Linked DNA regions of Tamandua tetradactyla. The protein of the gene in region 1 interacts with the protein of each later gene in a pairwise test. Links are inferred from orthologs where the notes say so. Each region holds a gene or a part of one and is shown in the gene's direction. Other genes may lie near its edges. The genes, in order: KHDRBS2, CHTOP, EWSR1 and NCOA5.

Region 1 (7,960 bases):
CCAGTTTTCAGTGGTTAGTGTTCTGTGGCATATAGCATAAATTGTAGCTATGAAAACATAACGTGAGAGAGTTCCCATTGTTCTATGGTAGTGCTATTGGTATCAGAGCCAAATCCCCTTCGCCCTCTCCTTTCTTGCAAGCTTAAATTACATTATGGAAGCTATAGAAGAAGCTGGAACTGATTTCCCTTCTCTTGTTAGTGAAATTACAAGAAACAAAAACACTCAAGTAGCATCTTCTGTGTAATAGGCTTTGCCAGACACTTAGGTAGGTGAAAGTGAGTCAGTCAGTATTTCAGTTCCTTATACTCTATGCTAGGCACTGAGGCTTTAGAGGGCAAAATTAACATTACCCTTGGCTTACTATTATAATTAAATAAATTATTGGGGTGCTACGGTTTCATTGAACCATAGTTCTTGCTGTCAGTGAATCCCTAGATATATAGAAAAAAGTACAAGTATACCCAAAGTTGGTGAGAACCATGAACAAAAAAGAAACTGCATTTTATTAATAAAATATATATATATATATTTTACTTCTTAGTCTGAAATACTTTCAAACGTACAGGACAGTTATAAAAATAATGCAAACCCCATAAAGAGAACTCCAAAATATCCCCACTCTTCAGATCTCCAGACCTTTCAATTTTAATTTTTTGCCACATTTACCATATCATTTTGTCTTCTATCTATCTTCCAATCATCCATCCATTGATCCATCCATCCCATTCCACCCATCCATCCACCCATCCATTTACCCATTTCCTGAACATTTGAGCATAGGTTAGATCTATCATGATTCTTGAACACTTAATTTTGCTATTTCCTAAGAACAAAGATATTCATTTACATAATGACCTTAAGTGAAGTTATCCTGTGCAAACAATTCAATATTGATATAAAGCCTACAATTTTTTTTTTTGTGCTCAGATAATGCCCCTTTGAGCATTACCTTTACTAGATGCCATCAAGGGTGATGTGTTGCATTTAAATATTATTGTCTCTTTAATTGTTCTTATTGTTTTTAATTGTGGTAGCATATATAAAATATACATTCTTCCATCTCAATCACTGCCAAGCAAACATTCAATGGTATTAGTCACATTGTCAATATTGTGATACCCTCACCACCTTCGATTTTTATTTTTGTTATAATGGTTTTCAGTTTTGTTTCCATCTCTCTATTGATATTCCCTTTGCATTCATCTATGATTTTTCCAATTATCTTTAGTTCTTTTTCCATGTTTTCTTTTAGCTCTTTGAGCATATTTAGGATCATTTTTAAAAGTCTCTGTTGCATCTTAAGTCTTGTTCTCCTTATTGATGGAGTCTAGTGCTTTGGTCATTGCTTCTTGTTCCTTTGTAAATTTTGTAAGCCTTTGTTGAAACTTGGATATTCTGATATTTTAATGGGTTTTCCTCTGTATCATGTGTTCCTTAAGCTTGTATCCAGCTACTGTTATGACTAAGTTTTCCTTGAATGTCAGGAGCTAACACAAAAACAGAAGGAGGAAAAAAAGGAAACACTTTTCCCAGTCTTTGCAAATTCATCTATGAGAGGGCTCTCCCTCTGGACTTACTACACAAAGGGTTGCATGAGAAGAGCTGCAGGCCAAAGCCTCAAGGCCTGCCCTGATCCTTTCTATGGCTGTGTCTTGTCTTGGGCATGCCTGTATGGTCCTAGGATTCCCCTATTTACTTAGTTATGAATGTCTCCTCTTACCTAAGAAATAGTTTCCTCACTGCACTCTATGTCCTACAGCCAGCAATTCCTTGTCTCAGGAAGCACAACTTGCATTGTGTTGGAGTGCTCTCTGAGCAGCCTTCTACATGCAGGGCCAAGTAGTGGGAGAGTAAGTCCCTTAGGCCACACCAGAGAGAATAGGCCAGGCATGCATGCTCCCAGCAGGTGCACGAGGGCCACTCTGCTCCCTCTGGAAGAGGGACTAGAGATTCACATGGAAGAAGGCTGGCTCCTAGCAGAGCTGATAATGAGTTGGGGTGGGGCCAGCGAGGACGCCACAAGATCTTATCGATTTAAGTAGACTTTTTTTCTTGATTTTGGTGCTTAGTCTGTTACTGAAATCTTTCAAGTGTTTTCAGAAGTATTGACAAAGATGTTTCTGCCTGTTCTTGCTGATCATGGAAAACTTCTGTGAGGGGATGGAATCCTGAAGTATCTTACTCTGCCATCTTGATTGTGTGGGGTATTGTGTATTTTATTATAAAGATTAGGTACTTCTTATTAGAATGCAAAGATAAGCCTGATTGAATTCCCTCTAGCCTGGCCTTTCTTCCAAGATTTGTGTGAAAGTGTTGAATGCACAGTTTGTGCAATAACCACTATTGTACAGTGGATGCCTTATTTATGTTTCTGAACCAAATATGGTTGTAGTGAAAACTTTCATAATACCTCATTTGAAATGGAGAGAGGAAGGGAGGGGGGGGAAACAACAACAGAAACTTTAAGGACCTGAACAGATGTTTGAAATGAGATAAATCTTTAGCTAAGCCCATAGCTAAGCCTAAGTCAATCAGTGGTGATTCAAGTTAAGTTATTTATACCATTAGAAGAGGTGGACTACCAGAGGCTATACATTTTTTCACATGTATAGGCACATAGTATTATCTATTCAACAATCAACTGCAGAGGGCCTTCTATCTTTATGTTTATAAAATGTTTGCATTTGTAAGGTAGCTCTGAGAATAGTCACTAAATAACTGTGCCACCTATAAAATTTTTATCTGTGAAGTTAACCAAGAAATGCAGTGACATGGAGCCATCTATTGAAAACAGAAGGATGTGGTGCTGAATGAGTACATGTGTAGGGCAATTGAGAGTTTGCCTTTGTTCAAAATATTCTGTTTAGAAATAGGACAAGTCTTTACATATTGATTCTTAAGAGCACAGAGGCTCTTTATGTAAAGTCTAAGTGATGAGTTATATTAAAGACATTTAGTATCTCTCTGAAGCAATAATTAAGAATTCAAGTAATGTAGTTTATATATCTTTTCTTATGATGTCCATCGTGTGCTAAGTGCAAAAACCGTATTCTTTTCCCTAACTCTTTGATTGGTTTCCTCTGGACCCTTATTGCAGTCAGCAATTACCAGTTCTCTTGTGTTCATTTTCTTGGTCTTTCCCCATTAGAAAATCATCTCTATGACGGTAGGAAAGACAGCATGTATTTCATTCACCAATAGTTTTCCAATTTATAGCATACTGCCTATACTCTTCAATATTCAACAAAACTTTATTGAATGCATACGTGCAAAAACAAATTTAATAATTAAAATACAAAAAAGATTGGCTAAGGCATTATAATCTGGAACTAGATGCTACCAAATAGGCTTCATTACAATCTCAACTTTATCATTAACTAACTGTGAATTTTGGGTCACTGAAATTCTCTGTCTCTGCCTCAGTTTCTACATCTATAAAATAGAGAAATTAATATTTTCCCAGTGGATGTGAAGGCATTTTTAAACACTACAATTTCGAGATAATCCCCTGGCTTTATCTAAGCACATGTACACACATGGAAGAGATTTTATTGAAGTAAGTGTACCTCACAAAGTTTCAGCAAGCTTTATTTGTAGAGTGGTGGACCCTCTTCCTCCCGCACTAGAATTTGTGGAGGAGGGGAAATTGGAGAATGATGGTTTGTGAAAAGAGTTTTCAAGACCATGGGAAAGATTGCTTCCTCGCTTTTGAAGCCCACAAGCTACATTTTAAAGCATCATTGGTGAGAGACCTATGGATTGTGCATCCATTGTTGGTAATATGGAGAGGATTTAACTCTCTCTTTAAATAGAAGTGGACTAGATATAAAGCAGCTCAACAACAGTACCTGGTGAAAGCGACTGTCACATCTAAATTAAGGAGAAAGGGGAAAATTAGAGCATTCACATTTTCTAGAAATTAGAAAATTAGGGTTACTAATTTTCTAGGCTCTTCCTGTCTCCACATCTCTTCCCAATTCCCTCACACACGTTAGCCGATTGATTATGTCGATTTTCAGTTTTTAAATTCAGCGACCTCCGCCCAACCCTTTCTTAGGGGCAACAATTAAGGGAAAGCGCAGATGTGAGAGAAATAAGAACTAATTCAATACCCCAGCTGTTGTACACTGAAGCTTACTGTTGGATAACAATATAGCCCCAGAAGGGCTTTATTTGTTTATCAATAAACATCCTACTGCGTCCCTGAGATGTAGGTCAGGCTCATCGGAAATGCCAGCCGCCGATCACATGAGGTCTTCATTTTATTTCCAGACCCGGTGCACTGTTTATTCCTGCACAGCACGAGTGCATCTGAGCGGCTTGAAAGAGAGGAGACACCTGTGCCTTAGGGACACAGGTGATGTCCCATCTACCTTCTTAAGACTTTTCCTGGCGCTTTCCCATTCCCTTTCCTTTTTTCTCCTCAACCCCACCTCCTTGGTCTCGAGCTTCTGCATTTAACAGGTGCTTTTCCTGCTCCCTTCCCTCTCCTTACCGCGGTTGAAGACACAGAGGTCTCCTCAGAACTGGGCATGCCTAATAACCAGGGAAGGCTTGGGCTGCAAGAAGAAAGCTTTTGCGCCTTCTGCGCTCCCCTCCCTTCTGCAGCTGCCTCCTGCCAGTCAGACGATTCGACGTGCAGTGCAGTCCAATGAGGGTCCGCAGCCTTCGCGGGGACCCCGCCTCTCGAGCACCGCCACCAATGAGTAGCCGGAGGAGGTGGGACGCGCCCTGTTCCCGCCTCTCCAGTTAAGGCCACTGGTGTGAGCGGGGGCTTGGCGCGAGCGAGGGACAAGGGAAGACACTGGCAGGTGTGGGCGCGGGGCCGCGCAGTCCGACGGCGGGAGTCACCGGCGCTCGGTGCATGGGCCAGTGAGGACCGACGGAGATCCCCTCGCCGCGGCGGAGGCGGAGCAGCGCGGGAGCTCGGGGCTGCCCGGCGACCCTGCGTCGGAGCGAGCGGAACGTTGCGCTTCGCCCGGGGACGGTCCGAAGTCCGCGCTATGGAAGAGGAGAAATATTTGCCTGAGCTGATGGCAGAGAAAGATAGCCTGGATCCATCTTTTGTGCACGCATCGCGTCTTTTGGCAGAAGGTAGGACCTGCCCCTCCGATGGGCTCGGACCTCCCGGCCGCCCTACGCTCCCGCGACGGGGTTAGGGGAGAGAAGTTGGGGAGGGACGTCTGTCTCCGCGTTGGTAAAAGCTGTTCCCCCTGAAGATGCTCGCTTCAGAGCTCTGGCAGACGAAGCCCGTGCTTGGGGCAGGCAGCTATGCTCCTTCTCCACGTTTTAATTTGGGGAAAACTCAAGCTGCGAGAGCTAATGGCAGTCGTGATGATGTGACTTGTTGGGATCATCGATAGTCAAAGAAACCGTAAAGTGTAACGCGGTCTGCAAGAACCTTTTCACTTCGCAGAGGGAAGAGAGAAATCAGTTTCGAAGTAAATGATTATCCGTGTAGTGTTCTAAGAGCTTCGTGACTGTAGATCAGCATTTTTTTTTTTTTTGGCTGCATTTTGCAAATGATTTTGAAACCTTTTAATCTAATTACAATCTAGTTCCTATGGGAAGTATTAGGAATAACCTAGATGAAACTGTGCATGTTCTTATATGTATGTGAGTGTCGTAAGCAGGGACTAAAGTGGTTATACATTGACTTGAAGTGATGATCGGATACGTTTCGAGGTATTGTTTCCTAGGAACACTTCACAATTGATCATCTGTTTAACTAAGTGTACATTTTCCTTTGTGTACCTGTAATTTTAAAGGAGCTTTCATTCCCCGAGAAATATTTGTCTTTTAAAATTATTTTTTGCATTGCTTTGAAAGGATGTCTTAAAAAAAAAGACACATAAACACAACTTCTGAATGGCAGAAACATTACGTGAAATAATGCCTTCTAACAACGAAAGACACTTGGAATATCTGTAGTAATCTACACACACTTTTCTTTTTAACAACTACAGATTTTCTGGGGGGGATGAATACTTCATTAATAATAAATTACTTCATCATAAAATTGGCTACAATGCAGTTTTTAGCTTGGGTTGTTATAGTCTTAGCTATAGTAAAACTAAAAGTGACAATTTCCTTTTCCCCAGTCCCCTCAGCATTAAAAGGAGTGTTTTCTTTTTGAAGCAATTTATATGGAAGGAAAAATTTTGTTACTCCACATGTGAGTGAAATAGACAATTTTATTTTAATATTTTATTGATGGAGTGTTGCTTAGAACAAGTCAGCATAAATTATTTTCTGTCTTTTTGAACTAAACAAAATGATTTACAGTCAGAATCTGAAATGTGTGATTGAAACAAGTAAGTTGCTTTTCAAGAAAGAGGCAGATTTTGCAGAGGTTTTGGGAAGGGTAAAGTGCAAGTATGCGTACTACTTTGGTTAAAGAATGGAAAAAATAGAAATTAAAGCTTAAAAGTCAATTAAAAATTAAAATCTCCCTCAGGTATTAGAAAACTTAAGGCAGCAATATGAAATAATAAGGATATTGGAGAATAATGAAGCTATAAATGCTTGATGGTTCAAAATGGATTAAAAATGCTTTTAAGACACTTCAGATACTTCAATATATTTTCTAGAAGTGTCTTCATTTAGGTGATAATGCCTCAAAAATGAAAAGAAGTTAAAAATTGATCTTTTTCTCTGATTTGTTAATTGGAGTCCCCTTTGGAACAACGGGCTCAGATTTCATAGATCATTAGTACTTTTGAAAATTGCCAAACTAAGACAGTACACATGACAAATTCTTAAGAGTACATAGGTACTTCTGTGGCTTGTACAGTAGAGAAGAATATGTACTTGGGTCTTTAACACTTTATCTTTCTCAGGAATTGGCTTTCTTGATACTTAGGAACATGTTCTGATAAACTGTGTAATTTGAGTTTTTCCCAGTAGGGGGAAGCATGCCCTGCTTTTATAAAGAATTAAGAGGAAAAGCACCTAAATAGAGGGGGAAAGCATTTAAGTAAGAAACAAAGAGAGGTTCTCAAATTCCAGAGAAATCGTACAGAGGAAAGGAGAGTGGAGGTGATGATAATCTTGGGGTCTTCAAAGACTTATGCAAAAAGACACAGAGCATTTTAAATTACTTCTCTGATTGTACCGCGGACTCTTGATATGTGCTTTTAAAGTGTATAAGGTGAATGTCTTTTAGAGTCGCTAATAAATTTTATTGTACATTTCTTATCCTAGATCTTTCATTATCTTTCCAAAGGCCATTTGCCAGGCTTTCCAGGTTTTTGTTTCAGATTCTTTAGCAGAGCGTGCTTGAGATGATTTTCTTTCTTACACTTGGAAATGCACTGATTGAAGGCAATGCCTATAAATAAACCTGACATAGATATTCATTTGGAAGGAAGGTGTGCACTGAAGTACATTTCAGTCAGTACTGTGCAGACAATCTCAAGACTGAGTGAGTAATAAAAATGATGCAGATGATTCAGTTCTTGGGAATGATTTTCCGGAAGACAGTATATATAAAGGTAGTGATGTAAACCAATAAGCTTTCACAATGATTTATTTTGATTTTTGATTGGTAGTAGATGCAGATCAAGTGCTCAATTGTGTCTACATTGTTTGGATTGAAGACTGAGGCGTTAAATCTACTAGTTTGTTGTGGGTTTTTTTTGTTTATTTTTGTTGTTTGTTTTATTTCACTTGCTACTGCTGTGTATTTTCAGTAGGGATGGTTCTGAGAAAGCCTTAAACAATACTTAAAATACTTAAAAATACTTAAATAATCTCAATATTTTATTGTTATGTGAGTAGATCTTAAATAAAATGGTTTCAAGAGTGCTTATAGTATCTTTGAGTAATTAAAATAATTTTTCTCCCATGGTTATAACGTTGTTGAATTAGCCCTTTGTTATGGAAGATGCTTTTGAATATGATAAAACAGCAAACGCAGCATGATCTTAAAGTTCCTCTCGACCTCTGAATTTGCTTG
Region 2 (6,933 bases), on another chromosome or scaffold:
AGAGACCCACTGGCTTGACGGTCTCCCCTCTCCAGCCTCAGCAGTCCTCTCCATTCTTCTTCTCCCTCCCAGCCCCTCAAAGGACCTCAGGAATTGAGTCTTTATCTTCCCCAATACACACCGGCCCCATTCCCCCTTCTCTCACTGTCCCCACATCAACCAGGCTAGGCCTGGGGAGACAAGGCCCTACAGGTCTCCCCTCCCCCTCCCTGGGAGCCCTGGCTCCAGGGATAAGCCTCAGACATTCCTGTCCGTTCCCACCATTCCTCCAAGGGAAAGGCTGATTCTGCAGAGATGCAAGAGGAGCTGAACCAGAGGCAATGAGAGGCCTACCTCAGGGAAGCCAAAATGACGTGTTCTGGAAAGAACAAAGTTGAGGGACCAAAAGGAGCCCCCAAGCTGCTGACAGATAGCTTAATGGCTGTGAAAACCCCCCAAGGAGTCTTAGGCCACTCACTCCGACTGTCTCCCCTCCATTCAGGCTCACCAAGAATAGCACACTGACTCCTTGCTAATGGTGGGCCACAGAGTCAAGACCATGGAAAGGACCCCAGCTCACTGTCCCCAATAGCACACAGAGCCCGGCTATGCGGGCAAATGAGGCGCAGGGTAAAAATAGATTCAGAGGCAGCCTGGCCAGGCCCTGTGACCACTTCTGCCTGCCCCACCCTCCTCAGGCCTCTAGAGCCAGCCCAGTCACTCTCTCTCCAATGCCCCAAACCCTGTCTGGCTGGAATATGGATTAACGGACCCAAAGAGCAGGACTGGATTTAGTTCTGCCTGAGTTTTCCCTATTATAATATCTCAGTGAAGGGTGAATTGCTGTGGGGCTCCCATCTCGTGAGGGTTCGGACTGTGGGGTAGAGCCAGGCTTGAGACCAAGATTCCTCCCCGCCACCCCAACCCCGGATGCCCTGGGTCTGGTCCCCCACTCACTTCCATGGCGTGTGTGCTTGTGTGTGGGGGTGAACAGGTGAGCTGCCGCAATGGGCTCTGAGCTGGAGACGGCCATGGAGACCCTCATCAACGTGTTCCACACCCATTCCGGCAAGGAGGGGGACAAGTACAAGCTGAGCAAGAAGGAGCTGAAAGAGCTGCTGCAGACCGAGCTCTCCGGCTTCCTGGACGTGAGTGGGCAGAGGGTGGGATGGGCAAGTGGGCAGAATGGGGTGGACACGCTCCTGTCATCTCCAGTCCCGCCCCACCCCACCCCCACTCAGCCCAGCCTTCTCCCTGCTCTCCTAGACCTCTCCTGAATTTTTTCCAGGCCCCCCTACTCTTCCTGGTGCAACTCAAAATGCCCTGGTTTACTTGCATCTGATGCGCCTTTTATCTAGCATATGGATAGAGGAGTAAAAAATACGGATACAAAATAAACAAATAATTGGGGGGGACAAAGGTTAAAATAAATCAGGCAGTTGGAAATACTAGTGGTCAATGAGAGGGAAGAGTAAGGAGTATGGTATGTATGAGTTTTTCTTTTCTCTTTTTATTCCATTTTCTGGAGAGATGCAAATGTTCTAAAAATCGATCATGGTGATGGATACCCAGCTATGTGATGATATTGTGAGCCACTGATTGTACATGTGTGGAATGTATGTGTGCTAAGATTCATCACCGAAAATATTTTTTAAAAACAACAAAAATGCCCTGGTTTCTTGATCACCTGTTAAGTGAAGGCTGTGTATAGATTCATCAATAACAAGGCCGGAAGTACAAAGAGCTCTTAGAGGTACCTGCAAGGGGATGGGAGAACATTAACCTGATTACAGTGGGATGGCTTTTCCAAGGACATGCCACTTGAGCCATGGATTTCCACTGGCAGGTTATTGGGGTAAATGAAGACATTTTAGGAGGCAGTATCAGCATGAATAAAAACATGAGAGAAGAAAAGAAGGTGGAGCATGCTAAGTTTAATTTGACTGGAGTGAAGGATGCACAAAATTAGGCCACAAAAGCAAACGGGGGCCCTACGGTAAAAGAGAACCTTCAGGATACAGTAGGAAGTACACAGACACTTTATTTTTATTTATTTATAGACCCAGATTTGCATTCTGACCCTATCACTTTCAAGCTGTGTGACTTTGGCAGCTTGCTTAACCACTGACTGTCAATTCGTTTCTTCTCTAAACTGGGAATAATGAAATCTACCTCTCATAAAAAAATCTATTTTTGTGAGGAATTAGACAATGCCTGTGGAGCTTGGCACATTGAAGGCACTCCGAGGATGGTCACAGCTGTGACCATCGTTACTCCGCGCTGTGGAGGAGCTCATCCTGTGGGCAACAGGAGCCCATGGGTATTGGGGTTTTGAGGAGGGGAGCACAGGAGTCCCATTCGATGTAGTTCTGCCTCCTTCTCAATCAACGACCCTCCTTGCTCCTAACTCAGCGTCAGGCACGCTGGACTCGCCGTGCCACCGCCTCTCCCCCTCTCCCCTTCTCCCCCACCCAGGCCCAGAAGGATGCGGACGCGGTGGACAAGGTGATGAAGGAACTGGATGAGAACGGAGACGGAGAAGTGGACTTCCAGGAGTACGTGGTGCTGGTGGCCGCCCTCACCGTGGCTTGTAACAACTTCTTCTGGGAGAACAGTTGAGCAGACACCCCCAGTGGGCAGCGCCCTTCCCCTCCACCCTGGCAGATCTGCCCTTTGATCCGGCTTACCTCCCACCCCCTTTCCCCTCCCCACGCTCCTCCCATCCCCATCAAGGGCACAAGAGTAGTGGGCCAGGCCTGCAAGTGCACTTACATTAAAGGCTCTTCTTTGGCCAGCCACCCACTGTCTGCCTCTTCTGTAGCCCAAATGTTGGAGAGCTGCTTACTTCCAATTTGCCTAATTTGGGGAGAGGCCTTACGCCGCCGGGAGGTGTCTTACTGGGGGGAGGGGGGGGCATATACAGTCCTACTTGAGAAATGCTCAAGGCCCATGAACGTGGGGTTTCAACTTTCCAGCTGGAAGCTTCTAAGCTATAGAGCCAGAAGAATCTCTCCCTCAACACTCAAGAATATTTACTGAAAACCCTAAGCTGGTGTTCTGAAGGAACCGGGGATAGAGCAGTGAACAAGACACAATTCCTGTCCTTACTGGACTTGGGCCATGTAAAGTCTAAAACGTGTGTGTGTTTAGACTACTAAACACACACAAAGCCACGTTCTAGGAAGGAAAATAAATGGCTCCTCATGAGTGCATACGGGGTAAAGGAAGAGATTCAGGATGAGTTCATTCCCTCATTCCTCAAACATAGGAGCACTTTGTTATGGACCAAACCACAGGGAAAACCCCACAGGTCTAGGGATGGGAGGTCCGGAAGGCAAGGGGGAAGGAGGGCGCGGAAGGGACACAAACGTCTCCCCTCCTCCCCAGTAAGGCTTAAACAGCACTCAGACCAACTGCGGGAGGGAAAGAAGTGGAGAGGAAAATACGGACGGGGATGTGTGTGTCCTAAAGCGGCCTCCGCGGCCCCGGCTGGCGGCACTTCTCAACGCTGAACCGGGCTTATGAGGATAAAGGAAAAAACAGTAAACGCCCCGGGTCCGGGGGTCCGGGGGAAAAAAACCGGGGAGAATCTCCAGTAAAGACTTTTAGATGGTCTGCCTTAACTGGGGAAAGGGCGACAGAACACAAGTTTCATTTTTCATCGGGGCACAAGCCCCTCTCAGCGTCCGTGACTAGCCACGACCCAGGGAGAGTACGGTGCTAAGTCCTGACGCCACGGGCCAGAACACCCGTCCGCCCCGATCCCGGGTCCGCTAGCCACGCCCCCTCGCCGTCCGAGCGCGGCGTAGTTACGCAAACGTGCCTCGGCAAAACCCCACCTTCTCCCTCGAGCCCCACCCCTGGCCCCCGCGCGGGCGTACCACAAACGTTTCCCCGCCCCCCGGTTGTGCGCGGATCTGACGTCTGATGTAATGGCGTCGACGCCATTTTAGCCGGCCCCACTCCGCACCGGGCGTGGCGGCCATTTTGTTTTGGACACCGAGCGGGAGTTGGTGGCAGCTGTGGTAGCACGGACGAAAGGAAGGAAAGGGCAGGCCGGGTGAGCACAGAGACCGGCCGGCCAAACAGCCGAGGACAACCACGAGCTAACCTAGCAACCTACCGCCTTCGTATCTAATCAACCGCCCACCAAGTTAACCCGAGCTCCCCCGCCGTCAACTCGGGTTCGGCCGGTCTCCGGCCTGCCTGCCTAGCCGTGGTGGCCGCCCCGGGAGGAGCACTGGCGTCCGTTTCCTTCGGTGCGTTTCTGCGGTGAGAAGAAGAGGGGAAAAGTGTTGGGGAGCGGGCCGAGCTGGCGGGCGCGGAATGGGGTAGTGGGGTGTGGGAGAAGTTAGGTTGCCATGTTGGAGCGTGGAGGCCCAGGGAGGGGGCGGAGGCCCGGAGGAGGAAGCGGGGGAGGGGCGGAACTGGAAACTGGTGGGGTTTGATGGAGAAGTTTGGGATACAGTAGTGGAAGAAAGGAAACTTAGCGTCTTGAACAAAGTTGGCGGCCTTGACGGGACTTTGAGATGGTAGGGAGGTGAAATGAGGACTACGGGGCTTTGGGGAATGTTGGAATGATGACTTTAGGGTTAAATACTGTGGAGGGCTCTCTGGGAGCTAACTTCCTGGTGAATGCCCATTTAGGAAACCTTTTCTCGTCCTTCCCTTAGGTTCCTAGTTCCCTGTTAAGCTCGCTGCAAGTTTTGGAGTCGAAAGTCAGTATTGAAACCACTCATGGTCATGCTTGTATCTTCCCTCTAGATCAGTAATTCTCAACTTTGGCTGCATATAGGAGCACCCAGGTAGCTTTTTTAAAAAAAACAAAAAAGCAAACAACAAAAAAAAAACTATTGCTAATCCCCAGATCCAAACCTTAGAAGGTGGTAGTTTAATTGGTCTGGGACCAGACTTCGGTGTTTTTTTGTTTGTTTTTTTCTTTTTGACTCCCAGGGTAAGTCACATGCAGTCAAGATTAAGAATGACTACTCTAGACTGAAAGCCAAAATTAGCACTTATTTAGTGCTCTCTGGCTCTGCCATCTTTGGAGACTTGGCAGATACTTTCTGTTCTGTAGCAGTGAAGTTTTTATAGTTTGAGGTAACAGTCTTACAAAGGTAAGCACCTGAAGTGAGTTTTGATATGCTCATCATGATAACAATTGTCAGTGATACAAATCTTTTAATTCATTGTTGGTGTGGGCCTTGGCCCTTGTAGAAATGGCCATTCTGCTTTTCTGCTCATTCTGTCTATTGTCCTTTGTAGATTCTCGGGATTTGAAGATGGCTGCACAATCAGCACCGAAAGTTGTGCTAAAAAGCACCACCAAGATGTCTCTAAATGAGCGGTGAGGCAGCCAACAGCAACTTCAGCGCGTTCATAAGAAAACATTGTTAAATTGGCCCTGGGGTCCAATGCACAAAAACCGGTTTTAAACTAACTAGATACCAACAGAAGGCTACAGACCTCTGTTCCTAGTTGCATCTTATGTGGTACACAAAACAAATTGGGCGGTTGTTTCAAAACCCCTTATCAGTAGCTTTTTATGTTAAGCTGTCTGAAACATTTATCTGGTGGGATGTATTTGAAAAGGACTCCTCACACCCTCCCTTTTCTTCACATTTTTTTTTACATTGATACAGGGGTGGTGCAGCGTGGTAGCATGGTACCCTGGCTGCAGTTGGCTTGTTGCCCAGTCCAAGGCCAGCAGTGTTGTGTTTGGCCTGTAAGAGGCAGGTAGCAAGCCGTGAATCTGTCCAAAGGCCCTTGAATGTTGTTCTTGGACCTTGTAAGAGGCACTTGCTTTGCTCCATTTCACTTTCTTTCCATTCTGCTTTTAATTTGTTTTTGTTTTGTATTCTGTAAACATTACGTGTTCTCTTCCATTTCATTAAACTTACCTTGACAGGAGTAATAGAGAAGTGTCTTCACAGGCTCCTAAATGATTCAGCTAATGTCACTTAATATAACTTTATCAGAAGTAATCATATGGAGCCAGAAAAGGTGATCATTCAAAACTGAGAAAAGGTGTGTAAAGGCAGTTTCTATCTTGAGGAGCTTTATTCATTGAGTGCCTTTGGTCATTTTATTAAGTTGATGATAGACCACTAAGATTTATTTAATATATGTTTTTGCTTTTCTGAAACATATGTGCTTCTGTCTTTTAGGGTACAGTACTATAATTAATTATCCATGTTCACATGCAACTAAGTGAATAAATATAGAAAAATGTGATATATTCCTAAAATGCATGTGGGTGTTTGTATATCCCATTAGTATGGCTTTGAAGGTACTCTAATCCTTCTTCATATTTGCCCTTAGAATGCACCCTCGGGTCTTCCAAGGTTTTGGTTTTCTTCATTTGTCTTTGAAACTACATTTTCTGTCTCTTGTCATCGTATCTGCTTATTGCGTGTTTTTCATATTTTCCACCTCTCTAAAAGCCGTTACCTGAGCCCTTGTTATCACTTTTGATTGAATGTGCCGCACTTAGCTGCATTTCTCAGTTTCTGATTCTTGCAAGTTTGTGGAAACAGAGGAGTCTTTAACCCACATCAGCCTTGATCTAAGTGTACCACTTTACTTAAAAGTTCGTGGGATCTGGAGCTCCTGATCTAGCAAGCCATGAAAATGCCAATAAATGTTTTATAATAAAGCTTTTATTTAAACATCCATTTTGTTCGACCTTGAAGCTTTACTAATATGCTGAAGAACAAACAACCGATGCCAGTGAATATTCGGGCTTCGATGCAGCAACAACAGCAGCTAGCCAGTGCCAGAAACAGAAGACTGGCCCAGCAGATGGAGAATAGACCCTCTGTCCAGGCAGCATTAAAACTGAAGCAGGTGAGAGAATGGGTTTTAATACTCCAGAAGCAGCTGGTGATCTCCGTCAGGCAGTCCACTGAGGCTGTCAGGATGTGATGGTTGGTTACGTGGTGGCTCAGGGCAAAA
Region 3 (7,587 bases), about 84 Mb from region 1:
ACCCCAACGCCCGCCAGGAGCACAGCCAGTAGCCCAGCCACCAGGGCGAGCAGGACAGAGGCATACAGGAACCGTAGGGTGCCCAGGCGGCATTCCTGCTGCCAGCCCAGTGCTGGCAGGAGCAGCAAGCTCAGGAGCAGGCCTGGCAGGGCTGTGTGGCCCAGGGCGTGGGTCAGCAGCCTGTGTGCTGGGAGAAAGGAGGGGCATAGGTGCAAGTTGGGGGCTGCCCTACCGCTAGGGCTAACTTCTGAGCCAGCTTCCCCTCCCCAGGAGCCAGTCCACCCACTTAACCTTCATGGAGGGGACCACGGGCTTCCAAACACTGGGACAACTCCCCTGTTGTGTTATAAAAAGTCCAGACCCACTAGTCTTCTAGTGGCTTCTCGCCAGCAGCCACTGGTGGGCTCTTGCTATATCCCAGGAACTGGGGAGGGGGGCGTTAAGTACACATTTGCTGAATCCTACACCCTGGGAGCAGGGGTGCTGGTAAGACTGCCTGCCTGTTTCAGTCCTTGTACCCGCCCCCCCAATTCCCAGCTGGTGACCTTAGACAAGCCACTTAACCTCCTTGAAACCAAAAATTATTTGGTTTCCTCCAATGTAAATTGGAGCTATTATTACTGGAAAACGGGTGCTTAGCTGGGGTCACTCCTGGAACCCCCAGTACCTCCTCCCCCTCCTCATGCTCAGCTGAAGGCCTTACCTCTTATTTCAATGCAAAAGGGAAGCTGTCAGAAAAGAACTCCCACCCACTGGCTCCCACCCCACCCTGCTCGACCTCCACCTGAGTCCTCTGCCCTCTCTTGGCCCGGGGTGAGCTGGGCACATTTCCATCCAAGGCCAACTTTCCCCAGGGACCTAGGCCCCATCCCTGTTTGGCCACTGCAGGGTGCATCCCACTCCTACCAAAGTCATCTCTCTTCTGCAGCACTGATATTCCTGTCCTGGGCTGTTCCTGTCAGCTGTCAAGCACACTGCAGGTCTTTCTCTCCAGCCACTGCCCCATCTCTGCTCCTATTTACAGCAAGACTACTAAAAGTCATCACCCTTCACTGCCTCCACTGCCTTTCCTAGTCATGCCTGTCCCCTCCACTCTGGGGAAGCCACTCTTGCAATGAGCTATACATGGCCAGATCTGATGGGCAGCTTTGTGTCTACACTCACAGACATATAACATGGTCATCCTCTCCAGTCTAGGCTTCAGATGTCATCAATATGCTGATAACTCCCACATTTCTATCTCTGACACAGAATCTGCTACCTCCAGTCTCACGTGTCCAACAGCCAACTCACTCTCCCACTTGAATGTAAAATCAGCATTTCAGACTTCACATATCCAAAAGCCAAACTCTACACTGGGTTCCCTGTTGCAGTAAGTGGTTAACTCCATCCTCCGAGCAGCTCAGGCCCCAACCAAACCTCCTGCCCCTGTATTCTCTCACCCTCAGTTACTACCCCCAAAGCATCCCCTGCCTCCAGGGCCAGGCCATTATCTTGCATCAGGATCTTTGCCGTCACCCTCTCACTGGGCTCTTGCTTCAACCCGTTCCCACTTCAGTTGGTTGCTCACAGCAGCCAGGGGATCCTTCCAATGCACTCCAGTTGGAGCTGAAGTCCTACCACAGACCTCAAGGCCCCACATGCGCTCCTGCCCCCCCCCCTCCCATTAACCCCATTCCCATGTCCTCCTGGCAGTCCCACAAACACTCTGATGTATTCCCACCTCAGAGTCTTTGTCTTGCTGTTCCTCCTGCCTGGCTGGCTGCTAGCCTTGCCCCCTGCAGGGCTCTGGAAAATGCCACCCTGTCATGAAGGCCTTCTATAAGAGCCCTATCACTCACAGCTCCCCCCACACCATTTCACCTTCTTCTCAGCACCAGCTATGTATTCACTTGTTCATGTCTGTTTCCCCCTTCCAGAATGTCAATGCCATGAAAACAAGGACCTTGCTTTGTTCACTATTGCATCCCCAGCACTGAGCAGTGTATGGTACATGGTAGATGCTCAATGAATATGTGCTAACTAAATGATTGGATGGATGGATAGGTACTCATCAGATTCTAATTGTTTTGTATTATATAGTCATTCAGGGAACTGCTTGGGCAGCTCTGTCCAACTGTCCTTGATATAAGAGGAGCTGCTGCTGATATCCCTAGTTTCCAGATGAGGAAACCAAAGCCCAGAGATGGCAAGTGACTGGTCTTGGCTCCCCAGCAAGTCTCCTGCCTCCTCCAAGGCCTCGTGGATGGCCCTCACCCTGCCAGGGTTCCAGCAGCAGCTCCGGAGCCAGGGCGAGGCTGGGGCCAGCCCCCACCAGCCACAGACCACTCAGCAGCAGCATCAGAGCTGAGGAGGCCAGGGGCATGACCAGGGTCGGCAGGCCAGAGGTGCCTCTAGCATACATGGCTTGGCTGAGGGTGGTCGAGGGAGGTCCTGGGGCTGGATGCTGGGAATAAAGGAGAATAGTAACAGTGGTTATTATCATAGACTTTATCTCACTGACTCACTCTCAATGACCCTGCCAACAGCTCCATGTTGGAGATGTGGAAACTGAGGCTGGAGAGGCAGGCCACACAACCTGACCATGGCAGAGTTCAGACCCTAACTCATATGCCCAGCCACCTTGCCATTCTGCCTGCCCCTGTGTGAGGATGGGCAGTGGTTGAGAAAAAGGGCCCTGAGTTCTGATGGGCACTGAAGAGGAGTCAGGGGTAAAAGGCACAGAGCCAGGGAAGTCAAATTGGAGCCCAGAGCTCCCAGAAACAGGAGTGTAGCCCCTCAGGGAAAATTCAGGGCCATCTCCAGCCCTCCTATGCCTCCCTCTTCTCTCTGGGTGGGAGTCAGTTCATGCAGCCACCATCCCCCATTCCTCCCTCCACTGTGCCCAGCCTTAGAGCTCCTGCCATTTGGCAGCCCTAGACCCAGGGGGTGGAGCCTGCAAGGCAGTGTCTGCAAAGCGGGCCAGCCAGTGGGCAAGTAGATTGGAAGGAGAGTAAAGTCAAAAGAGTTGGAGGCAGGGAAACAGGAGTCCTGCCCCCTGCACCTCTACAAAATGTCACGGGATTGAGAAAAATCGCTTCCTTCGGCACAGCCCCTCTGGCCCTGGCCTACTCTTTCCCAAGGAAGGTTCCATTCTCTGAGTTTCCCCAGATCTGAGCCTCTCTCCTCCTAGGGTGAAGAGCAAAAGGAATGGGCTAAAGCAGGACCAGGCCCACAGCTCCCACTCAATAAACATTAGTGGCTAATCCTGGAAGGCAGGTGGAGTCACCAGCTCTGGGTGGCCAAACTGGCTCACTGCCTGGGCTTAGAAACAACTCCTCCAGCCTGGCTGGTCCGAGCTCTGGCCCACTAGTGCGCAAGACAAGGCCTGTCCTCCCTCCTCCTGGCAGCCTGTCCTCCCTCCTCCTGGCGGCCTGTCCTCCAGCCCTGCTGGAAGCCCCTCACCGCTGGCTAGGCCACCCTGCCTCAAGCCCCCCAGGAAGTAAGACCCTAGAGAGACAAGAAACGCTGCCTCACCTGCTCTCTTGCCAAGAGCATCCTTGGCAGTGAAACCCACCTGCCAGTTTCCAGCAGGAAAAATATGGAAAGCTCCTCCATCTGCAATATGCTTCCCTCTGTCTCTCCAACTGGCAAACTCCTATTCGTCCTTTGAAGTCTAGCTCAAAGGTCCCCTTGGCCTCCTCCGCCGGCCCACACTGGGGATCTTATCCTAATTTATGAGCACAGCTTGGCTTATCTGTCCTCCTCCTAGGCAGGCAGTCTGAGATCATGGAGGAGCCTCCTCTCACTTATCCCAAGCTCCCCAGGGTGCACCCAGCACTTCATACGTGCTCACCAAAAGAAAGATGCATTGGCTCCGGGTCCCACTAAGGAATTTGGGGTGAGACCTGTCTTTTGCAAGTGCGAGCCTTGCCCTGAGGCTGGGTCTGGGTCCAAGGCCCATCTGCAAGCCTTCTACTACTTTTTCACAATCACTCCCTCCCAGGCCACCTTGCACGTCAACATGCATGGCTGGGACTTGAACTTTTTGGGGCCCAGATTCTTCATCTATATAATGGGACTGTCAACGATCAAGCCCTGCCTACCTTAATAGGAAGCCGGGAAGACAGAATGGGAAGACAAGGACGGAAAAGTTCTTCCGGAGAGTGGGAAGGTTAAAGGTCCCAGGGTATGGGTCAGACTTTGTGACTTTGGGTCAAGTACCAAACTTCCTTGGGCCTCAGTTTCCCCTTCCGTAAAAACAAGGGCGTTAGATGGGGATGACGAAGGGACCTTCTTAACTTCGACCGTTAGTGGGGGCCTCTCGGGGCCGGGCTTAGCGTTCGGACCTCCCACCCAGCCTATGAGCCCCCGGCCCCCTACCACGCTGCCCGCACCACGTGTCCAGGGTACTCACTACAGAGCGCGCCCTCGACCCCGGGGAGGCCGCGCGGGGCACCCGCCTAGGAGTCAGGACTCTACCCCACCGCCAAGGCCCGGGAGTCCCGAGCCCATTCCTCACACACCTGGCGCGTGACCCCTACCGCCTGGCCGGCACGCCGCCCGCCGATTAGTCAGCAGTTGTCCTAGGCCCGGATCCCTTCCCCCAGCTTTCCCGCCGCCCTCCGTTTCCCTCCAGGCCAGACTCTTCACAGACGGTCCCTAGAGCCAGAGGACGTAACCATTCCGAACAACCCAGCTTCGTGCGGAGAGTTACCTCGGTTTGATACCGAGATCTGTTCAACGGCCGCTCCGGCTCCTTCAGTGCTGTTTTGGCCCGCACGTCACATCCGGCGCTCTTTAGAGAGTACTAAGACTAGAGTTGCGGGCGGTAAGGGCGAGAAAGCTGAGGTTCCTCCTTGTCCTCCCACACCCCCGTGGCCTGGTCCCATGGTAGCGTCCGAGGTTGCGGGCTTCGCGCCTGCGCAGTGCGGCGCCTAGAGGGAAGGCGAGAGGGAGACGGACGTTGAGAGAACGAGGAGGAAGCAGAGAAAATGGCGTCCACGGGTGAGTGAGGTGGAACCGCGGTCGCGCCGGCGTCGACTGGGACGCCCAAACCAGGGGCCACTCGTCTCTGGAGGTGGCCGGGGCGACTGAGTGGGGTTGCCGAGAGGGGTCTCAGTTGCCCGCCACAGCCGGACGGGCTTGGAGACCCGTGTTTCCCCCCCTCCCCCACCGGGCGGGACGGTTCTAGAATCTTCCGGCGCCTCCCGCGCGCGGGGGGCTTGCGGCGGCGCGCGGTGACGAGGGCGCGCGGGACCCGTCGAGGCCTCCATTGTGTGGCGGCCGTCGGCCCTGCGCTCGGGGCAGCCCGCCACGTGGGCGGGGCCTGCGGCCTCTGGGTCGCTGCGTGGGGCGCGGGGCTGGAGGTGGTTGCTTGGTTGGGCTTCGAGTTGGCGTCTGCAAAAGTCCGTGTGGAGGCGGCCCGGTTGGCGCGTGGGAAAGCCGTGGACCCGCTGCCTGTGTACCCTACCCCCTCAAACACACGTTTCCTGAGAGGTGGCTCGAGCCCGAGGGCGACCCTACCTCCAGGAGAAGCTTAGGGGAAAAAAACAACAAACAAAAAAGGCGTCGCGGATTTGTGGGCCGGGGGGCGCCGGCCTTTCGCTCGGCCTATGAGCGGGAGCCCCGTCATCCCTAAGGCCGGGTCGGCTGGGGGAGTCCGGAGCCACCGAGCTGCTCCCTCCACGCGTTCCAGCCCCAAAGCTGAGTTTCTGCTTCACTGGGCGCTGGGCGGAATGTGCTCCATCTTTTTGAACCCCACAATCGGCTGCCCTCTCGGGCTTTTTGGGGTTTTTTTTTTTTTTTCATTATTTGTAAACTCCACTTCCTCCTTTTCTCAAAAGCTATTAAGTGATTCCTAGAGTCCATTTTTATTGCAAACGCCGAGGGAGATCTGTTGTATAATAAGGCCAGTCTGGATTGCGAGGCCTGAATTTCTATGGAAAGAAATTTCTGGGTTCTTCGACCTAAGAGGAACAAAAGGTCGGCACCAGTATTTGAATTGTGCTTAAGCAATCGTTTCACGCGTTTAATAGCCTGCGTCGGGCCGATAGGCTTATATATTTTGTGGGCTGCTAAAAGAAGAGGGAAAAGAGGCTCTCGGTAGACATGGAAAGAAAGCCAGACTTGTGAACTCCAGAATGTGATGTGTGAGGTGGTCCTTGGTGCATGGAGAATTTTTAAAAAGTGTACTTAAGCACCTGCCGTTTTGCAAACTGTCCATTCCCTAGCTGGCGGTTATCTGCTAGGTCCAGCAGTTTTGCCTCTGGAGATATTCTTAGGCCTCCTGATTCCTGGCCTTAGAAACAGAGGAGATGAGAGGGGAAGACAGGATAACCTCTGGGTCGTTCAGAGTTTTCTTCAGAAAAGGGTCCGTAATCTAGCAACCTAAAGATATATTTCTCATTTTACCGTACTGTGTGATTAGTAAAACGGGTAAATGCTGGCTGTCCAAGTTTGGGATGGGCAATGGTTGAATGTTACTGTCCCTGCCCTGCTGAATCCTGGGGAGAGGGGTGCAGATGTGTACCTTCAGCATGGCTGGACATGTTTTTCGGTCAGTTTTACTCAACTTCCATTGATTGTTGTTGACTGATTTTTTTAAACTACAATTACAATTGTGCTTTATGCAGACACAATAGTATTAGGACAGGGATGGGAAGTGGTGGTGGTGTGAGGCTTTGGGGAGTCATGTAACTTTTCTGGACCTTAATTTTCTTTCTTGTAAAAATGAGTGAACGAGGCTAGATCTTTTAGGGACTTTTTGAGTCCTTAACTTCTGACCTTACAGCAAAGCATTTTGGTTTCCACAAAGTTGCCCCATACTGACTCTAATGCATTATGTAGTTGAATATTTAAATCTGCACAGTTTAGACAGTGACTGCCGTAAAGCTGCTGTCTTGGGTAATAATGCATGTTTTCCCTCTTGTATATATCATATATAGAAAAGCACCTAAAGCCTATGTCCATTGGAACACAAAGAATTACAACGCAGACTCCCCAAGTAACCACCACCTAGGTGGAGAAACAGAATATTGCCAGTACCCTAGAGGACCCCCTGAATTCCAGCCTCTTTCCTCCTCCCAACCAGTCCAGTATTTCTAGTGAAGTCTTCAGCTGCACATTTGGGAATTAAAAAGAGAACACAATTGGTCACTAAATAATTTGACCGGGGTATAATTGAAGCATATTTGAGGCCATATAATATCCATGCTGTATGTAATTCTCATGAAACAAACTTGCCATCTCCCTTAGGAATTGGTGAGCCCACTAGGGTAGGGTGAAATCTTCTAGTTTCATGCCAGTCACATCTTCAGTTCCATATCATCTTTGCCAATTTTATGTTTTACATAACTATTCTTGTGTAAAAGTCCTATTGCAAACAGAATTTACATGCCAGCGATTTAGAATCATTTCTCATTCAGAAACCTCAACAAAATGTTGGCTGAAATATATGTTTTCACATGCTTTATTGGTGTGTTTATTTTGTGAATGCCACATGGAAGAAATGGTTCGGTTTACTTTTATATGTCACATAAACGTCATGAATTGTAGTGCTGATGAAAATGCCTTAAGGCTATCTTAAATCAATTTGTTCAATATAGG
Region 4 (7,071 bases), on another chromosome or scaffold:
TTATAGCCTCCAGTGTTTTGGGGCAGCTAAAAGGAAAAATCTGAGATAGTGGAATGGTAGCCCATGACAAACTCTGGGATCTGTTCTGTAACTACTTGTTGAAGTGTACTTCGAAAATTATCGCTTTTTTCTTTCTTTGTTTTGTATATGTGTTACATAATAGAATAAAAAAACATCACTGGGGGAGGAAGTTCAATAAAAATTTTGATTTCCACATCTTTTAGAACTGGGAGTTAATCAATATTGTCTGATATTGAAAGTTTGATTTTTAAAAATGACTTTGACTACTAAATAATTGGCAAAGTCTTTCTCTTTCCTGTACACAAATCTTGTAGGAACTAATAATGGTTATCAGGAACATTTGATATTTGATATCTGATGATTCCTTCAGTGTGGAGTTGCCAAATAAAATACAGTACACCTAGTTACATTTGAATTCCAGATAAATGATGAATCATTTTTTAGTATAAGCATGTTCAAAATATCGCATGGAACACACTTATACTAAAAATCTTTCGTTGTTTATTTAAATTTTCATTTTGTTTTCTTATTTGCTATATATGAAATTCTACTTCAATGTCATTTCAATGTTTTTATAAATATTAGCTATCATATACAGGATGTAAAGTGCTATACAAATGAAACACATTATAATGGGGAAAGTGTGGATACAATTGAAAAACCATGGGACTTTGAATTAAAAACTTGGGTACTGAGCTCTAGTTCTGCCTCAACATCTCAGTAAATGCATGACTTTGGACAAATCACTTAATGTAAGCATCACTTCCTCAAAGTCTATAAAATTGGGTTTTGTGTGTGTGTGTGTGTGTGTGTACATCTCATTTAATCCTCACCATGACCCCAAGAAGGTGTTACTATCTCTGCTGCCAAAATGAGACACTTGGGGCTTGGTTGAAGCTCTGTGAAGCAGGGGCCACATCTGTCTTGTCTCCCATGCCTGAGCTTAGCCCAATAAACATACCTGGTAGGTGCTAAGAAAATACTGAATATGTAAAAGAGTCCCAAAACTCATATCATATTAAAGGGAAGAGCCAAGTTTTGAACCAGATCTTTTTTATTCCAAATCTGGACTCTTTTATTTTCTAACTTTTCATTAAAAAAAAAAAATTTAGGTGTACTTTACATATAGTAAAATACACAATCTTTAGGGCACACCTCTGTAAACGTTTACCTTTGTGTATATCCCATGTAATAGATCAAGATTAACACATTTTCCTCTGCCCTGTAAGTCTCCTCAAGCATAGATTTTCCCAGTCTATGCCCCCTCCATCTCCATCTCCCAGAGCTAATTTCTATTCTGACTTCTATCACCAAAGATTTGATTTAATCAAAGCTCTCACTCTTAAATTCTAGATTTCCCCTCTCCTGTGATGTATCAGATCAGATACAAAGTGTATGTAAAAGTGTTTTATAACCCATTAGGCGGTGTCTGAGCCCCCTCGGTGTTTAGAATAGGTCCTTATGTCAGCTCACCCATCACCCATCCAAAAGTGAAAATGAAATAGACTCTATTATGCCCTGAATTTGTCCAAATGGAAGATTTTACCCCAAGATTTTTTTCTGATCCTCTTCAATAGTCCTGTCTTTAAAAAATTGCCAATTTCCTTTATCATAAATCTTTCGGCCCTCCTTCCTCTGGATATTCCTGAATCTCCACCCCCATTAGCCTAGAAGTGGCTGGCTTCACACCTACAAAGCACGTTGAAATACTAAGAATAATACTGATTAGAGAAAAAGCAAATGAATAGCTCAAAAACATTCTTCTACTATTGAATATACTATTGAACCCACTCTTCCTTTCTTACTTTTTTACTCCATTCAACAAATATTTCCTGAGCACCAACGCTGCTTCCTCAGCAGGGGTTATTGTTTATGTAGAATTCCTCATTGCCCCAAATTGACCATCCTGTGAGTCATACAAGGCAAAGCTCTCATGGCTCCAAGGAAACGCATGCTCTTTAGTATTGGCTGGATATTAAACTAAAGCTTCTTTCCCTCAGGCTCCCCTTACTAGGGGAGAACCACTGAGCTCAAAGTCATTACCAAATTGTAGGACCACTGAGCTCTAAAGTTCCATCTGACAGAAATCAAGCAGCTTCCGTTGTAGCAGACTTTCCTTGTATTCGTTGGTCAAACTTTGCAGGACCACAATTGAAGGTTTAGAGGCTGTACACCATTCAAGTACCCGTGTCTTGGAAGGGAACTTATCTCAGAAGATGGTGTCACACAGTTAAATGAGCACGTTCAGGCAGCAAGCTGTGCTGGCTTGAGTCCTGGCATGCCACATGCTCTCTGTAGACTCTCAAGCAAATTAACTGGCCTTAATGGCCACATCTGTAAAATGGTACCTACATTATAAGATAAAATGAGGTCATATTTGTAAGGGACCCAGCACATTATAGGCACACAATAAATGTTACCTATTATTATGTAAGTCAAACATCTAAATGGGAAGACATCTTCTGTGTAAGAATGTCTGCCTACGGAATTAACTTTCCCCATCATAAAATATTCGTCACATTATATTACTATAACTTGTTTATTGCTTGTATTCCCTACAAGGTTGTAAGTTCTCTGAAGGCAGGGACCTGGTCTGTTTTGTTCTCCATTCTCCACAGTGCCAAGCACATAATCACACATTAAATGTTTGTTAAATGCATGGATGAATACATCAAGCGCTGATTTAAGGAACTGCCATACAATCCTAAACCAACAATCTCTTGCTTGGTTATCTTAATCTAATTATCATGATTCTTCCTTCATCAAAGAGGAAAGAATAAGAATCAACATTTGTAAAGTAGTATCATTTGACAGGCTTTGTGCTTTTATCTTTAATCTCATATAATTTTGTAAAGTAGGAATTTTGATAACCATTTTGCTTGTGGGTAAACTAGGGCTCCAGTTACACCCTCTGGAATCCCTATTCTTTCCTTCAGAGCATTTAACTCAGTTTGCAGGGACACACTCAAGTGTGAGTATCCACCTAAAGCCATCTCTCCACTAGACTGTAATCTCCAAGACAGCAGAGATGGGTCTGCAAGCGCTCACAATAATGCCTAGCAAGTAGGTGCATAATAAATCAAGGGCCACCAAGCAGGTGTATAATGAACATTTGGTGAGTAAATGAGTGATGTGAGCACATGAGTGGGTGTCAAACAAACCTGGCTTCCCATGGTGTATTCAAATGTCACAGCCACTATTTTTTATAGCATGCTCACTATTCACAAGACCCCATGGGGTCTGAGGCATTTCCTAACTAATAAAACAGCCTACGGGATTCAAACAGTGATGGCTGTGATTGATAGAGAGTATTTAAAACTGTGTGAGCAAATTCCATTCCCTGTGACAAATATATTCTATAGATTAAAGAACAGTACAATGTTTTACATGCTTCACAGTCGACAGGTACATTCTGGGAAATCCGTTCTTGACACTGAATAAATATTCCAGGAAGAAACAAATAACTCAAGAAGAATCTGTGCAACTATCTCCGAAAGCCTTTTGCCTCTTGTCAGTGAAACTAATAGGGTACAAAACCTATTTAAATGTAAATTTAAATAAAACATCTTCTCCACCTCTTGGTTTCCGTGTGCCAGGTGATCCCGGAGGTCAGAGGAATATACACAACTTCCCACACACATCCCCCACCTTAAAGAGTCAAAATTTGGGTTTGGAAAATTCAATAGTTAAAAAAATATTATGCAAGACTAAAAGCAAAGGATTCGAGGATTGAAATGTTCTATTTCCACAGTTAGAGAAGAAGGAGTGTGCTCTAAAAGCGAGGGCCGGGGCAGGGGCTGGGGTTGGGGGCGGGGTGGGGAACAGAGACTTGACCATTGACCCTTTGGAGGAGGGCGCAGGCCTAGAGCCTATGCCCAGACCTGGACGCCGTTTCTAGGCAACCCCCAGCGCTCAACCACCGCCCTAGAGCCACTTCCCCGCCCTCATTGCCAGGGTGATTGACGCCTTAATTCAGTGCTGTCGTAAACCTGCCCGGTCTCGCGACACTGTCGCACTTGCCGCTGCGTGCGCGCCCTCTGCCCCCGTCTCCAATCTCCGCCCCGGCCGCCATTGCCTCGTGCCCGCGCCGGTCGGTTGGTGGCGCCTTTGTCCTACAGCGGGCAGGTGGGCTGAGGCGGAGGCGGCAGCGGTGGGCCTGAGGAGAAGGAGCGGCCGGGAGCCCGCCGCGCTGGTAGCGGTGAGTGCCGGGAAGCAGTGGCCGTCCGCCAAGACGTTGGGCGAACTGGCAGGCGGTTGAAGGGGGGGGCCGGGGCCGGACGGGGAGGCTGAGGCGGGAGGGCCCGCTGGACGCGCGGCCGCGGCCTCGTCTCCTCTCCGGGTGCGCGCGGGTCTGCGCATGCCCTGTGCGGGGCGCGGCCTCCCATGGCTCTCCGCAAGTCCAGGCCCGGGGCCTGGACAGCCTGTGGTGTGGTCGAGTCGCGAGGCGCCGCACCTCAGCAGCCCCTCAGTGCGCGAACCGCCGATACTAGCCCTGCGGCCTTCTCTGTGGGGTGCGGGGCTGCACGCACTTCGCCCGCTTCTCGAAATGGCGAAGTGAAGTCGCTCGCCTGTCGGCGCTCAGCGAGTCGATGGCGCAGTCGGGGCTCGAACCCGGGCCGCTGCGGGCGTTCTCGCGGCGTAGTGCGGCGTGCGGAGCTCTGGTGCCCGTCGCCGCCGCCCGGCGGCCCCGTGACCGCATCCTCGGGGCGTCTCCTTATCATGTGCCACCCCCACCCATCTTATAGACGCCGACCCCGGGTTTAGAGAACCGGGAAGGGAACTGTGCCCGAGGTTCCGCCGGAGAGTGGCGAGAGAGCCAGCGCTCGAACCTGCTGGCTGTCCTGTTCCCTGACCCAGGGCGCTTTCCGCTCCCCGACACCTGCCCAGGGGCCTCTCACAGGACGGCGTTTCCCACATTTCCGTCTCTCGCGTTCCACCCTCACGTCCGTGTACCACCTGTACTGCTCTTTACTAAATGTTATCTTCTCACTCTTTCGTGAATTTATTTGTTCGAAACGGAAACTTAAATCACAAGCCGTTCATTGGAAAGCCAGTTATCTTTCTAATGCTCATTAAAAAAAATAATAAATACCTATCTGTTAAAGTAAACAGTGCGTCCTTGTTCCTCCTGAAATTTATTTTGCGTTCCACGCTTTGGGAAACGCTACCCTAGCAGTGTGGGTTTATGGGATTAATTGTAGTCCTTCTGGCTTTGGCTCTGTGCACACAATTTTTCCCTGAGGCATAGCAGATTCCGTGAGATGCCCTGGGATCTTCGGGGATGGTGATTAATATCATATAAGCTTTCTCTTGTAAACTCTTGTCATTGTTGGCAAGTAGTTGGTCCTGTCAAATGCAAGTACTGTGTACAAGTGTACCTGGTGTGTCCCCTCAGTTTTCTCACAGCATTGCGGCGTGGTAGCCATCTGACAGTTTATGTCTCTCCCAACACTGACCGAGCTTTTTTAGTTTCTGACGACTCTAGATTTAATGCTTTGTTTTGTTTAATAAGTCACCTTGGGTGTGAAAGCTCACTTTGCGTTAACTTTTGAATCAGTAACGCTCTAACTTTGCATTGTGGATATTGGAAATCATTCCTTACTTTGGTTTCTTTGCCTTTCTATTAGTTCTTTTCTCTGTTCTTTCACCCTCCAGATATTCTTTGAAACCTGTGGCATGGTCTCAATCTAAAACGTAGAAACACTGATTTTCCTGGTGGGATGTTCTGAAGAAACCATATTGTAAACTTCAGTGAAGGAATCTTTCTAGATGCAGGTTGTCCAATGTTGCAAGCCTATGAACACCACACCTTTAAAGGAGGCATTGGCTCATTAAGTTCTTTATAAATTAATAGTCTGTTTTATTTATAGTCTTTTTATAAGCTCTATTTTTGTGTGAGAGAGAGCAGATATAGCTTAATTCCTTGAAAGGAAACTCAGAGAAATCAGCTCAGGCCATTCAAAGCTTTTACACAACCCAAAGGCTTTGTAAAAGAATTTTCCCTGTTTAAAAAAAAAAAAAGTTCTGTTGGCGTTACTTTGATATAAACACACTGTAGAACCCATAGAAAGCTAAGGTCATTTTCATCAAATTTCCAAGAAACAGTCCTGTGTAGAGAAGAAATAAGAATTTGATTTTAGTCAGGTGTAAATTTCAGAACTTTAGCAAGTAGAGCTTCATCTACCAGTGCTCAAAAGCTGGGAGTAGACATCTTTTGGAAAAGGCTTTAGAAGTCTTTTGAGAAAGAGCTTGATGGTTTACAACTTGTTTTAAAAAACCATTGCGATTATTCCATGCCTATGACCTGCAGATGGCAGTGCCTTTGTACAGCTTGTTGCTACAAGAAGAATTATTGGAATTCAGTTGTGCTTTTAAGAATGGAAAACTTTGGAGGAAATATGTTTAATTTTTTATTCCCTTCAGTTTATGCTGTTCCTTTGCTTTTGACTCCCCACATGAAGAATGAAATAAATGCTCATTCCTAAACTTACTATTAGTGGTAATGATAACACAACCAGCAGTGCATATGATTTACAAATCAGGTTTACAAATATCAATTCATTTGCTCCTGCTGACCATCTTGAGATAATCTCTCGGTATTATATCCTCTTTTACGTATGAGAAATAGTGGCTCAGAACATATTCGAGATATTATCAGAGATAAAAGAGTTCGCGGTCAAGCAAAATTGAGAAATGTAAAGGTAAAGCTGTGTTCTTACTCCAGATTTTCTTAGAGACTTTAACTTGCTAAACCAGATATCCAAAAGAGGAAGATGTCAGTACACCTTTCTCTTGTTATCCTCCCATCAAACATCTTGAGGTGTTAGTGTTCACAAAAATCAATTACTCTTTCTACTATACTGTGTTTCCCTTGTGGTTTATTAATAATTATGGTATGTTTTTGAGATAAATGCTTTTTAAAAGCTCATCGTCAGCTTTTTTGTGCCAAAAAAAAAGTTTGTCCTACACATTTGTCTAGACTGTTCTGCGCAAATGAACTGTCAAAAAGTTAAAAGAGTAGTGACCAAAAGAAAATTTAAAATTACCCTC

The links.
Region 2: the proteins of KHDRBS2 (region 1) and CHTOP interact in binary tests that used the Homo sapiens proteins (3 or more experiments, as listed by UniProt). The two-hybrid records come from large-scale screens. The link is inferred for Tamandua tetradactyla from reciprocal best matches to the Homo sapiens genes KHDRBS2 and CHTOP.
Region 3: the proteins of KHDRBS2 (region 1) and EWSR1 interact in a two-hybrid assay, tested with the Homo sapiens proteins (2 studies listed by BioGRID and IntAct). The two-hybrid records come from large-scale screens. The link is inferred for Tamandua tetradactyla from reciprocal best matches to the Homo sapiens genes KHDRBS2 and EWSR1.
Region 4: the proteins of KHDRBS2 (region 1) and NCOA5 interact in a two-hybrid assay, tested with the Homo sapiens proteins (2 studies listed by BioGRID). The two-hybrid records come from large-scale screens. The link is inferred for Tamandua tetradactyla from reciprocal best matches to the Homo sapiens genes KHDRBS2 and NCOA5.

Annotation. Positions count from the first base shown.
Region 1 is NC_135331.1:118,113,243-118,121,202, reverse strand, and holds the start of KHDRBS2 (KH domain-containing, RNA-binding, signal transduction-associated protein 2), read left to right. Parts: upstream 1-4,952; 5' UTR 4,953-5,006; coding exon 5,007-5,097; intron 5,098-7,960. UniProt on the Homo sapiens protein: RNA-binding protein that plays a role in the regulation of alternative splicing and influences mRNA splice site selection and exon inclusion. Binds both poly(A) and poly(U) homopolymers. Phosphorylation by PTK6 inhibits its RNA-binding ability.
Region 2 is NC_135330.1:6,433,396-6,440,328, forward strand, and holds the start of CHTOP (chromatin target of PRMT1 protein), read left to right. Parts: upstream 1-3,921; 5' UTR 3,922-4,251; intron 4,252-5,244; 5' UTR 5,245-5,261; coding exon 5,262-5,326; intron 5,327-6,671; coding exon 6,672-6,825; intron 6,826-6,933. Other genes in the region: S100A1 (protein S100-A1), read left to right, coding at 987-1,127, 2,455-2,598. UniProt on the Homo sapiens protein: Plays an important role in the ligand-dependent activation of estrogen receptor target genes. May play a role in the silencing of fetal globin genes.
Region 3 is NC_135331.1:33,760,945-33,768,531, reverse strand, and holds the start of EWSR1 (RNA-binding protein EWS), read left to right. Parts: upstream 1-4,585; 5' UTR 4,586-4,973; coding exon 4,974-4,986; exon of another isoform or gene 4,987-5,176; intron 5,177-7,587. Other genes in the region: RHBDD3 (rhomboid domain-containing protein 3), read right to left, coding at 1-187, 2,257-2,404. UniProt on the Homo sapiens protein: Binds to ssRNA containing the consensus sequence 5'-AGGUAA-3'. Might normally function as a transcriptional repressor. EWS-fusion-proteins (EFPS) may play a role in the tumorigenic process.
Region 4 is NC_135327.1:6,165,987-6,173,057, forward strand, and holds the start of NCOA5 (nuclear receptor coactivator 5), read left to right. Parts: upstream 1-4,062; 5' UTR 4,063-4,219; intron 4,220-7,071. UniProt on the Homo sapiens protein: Nuclear receptor coregulator that can have both coactivator and corepressor functions.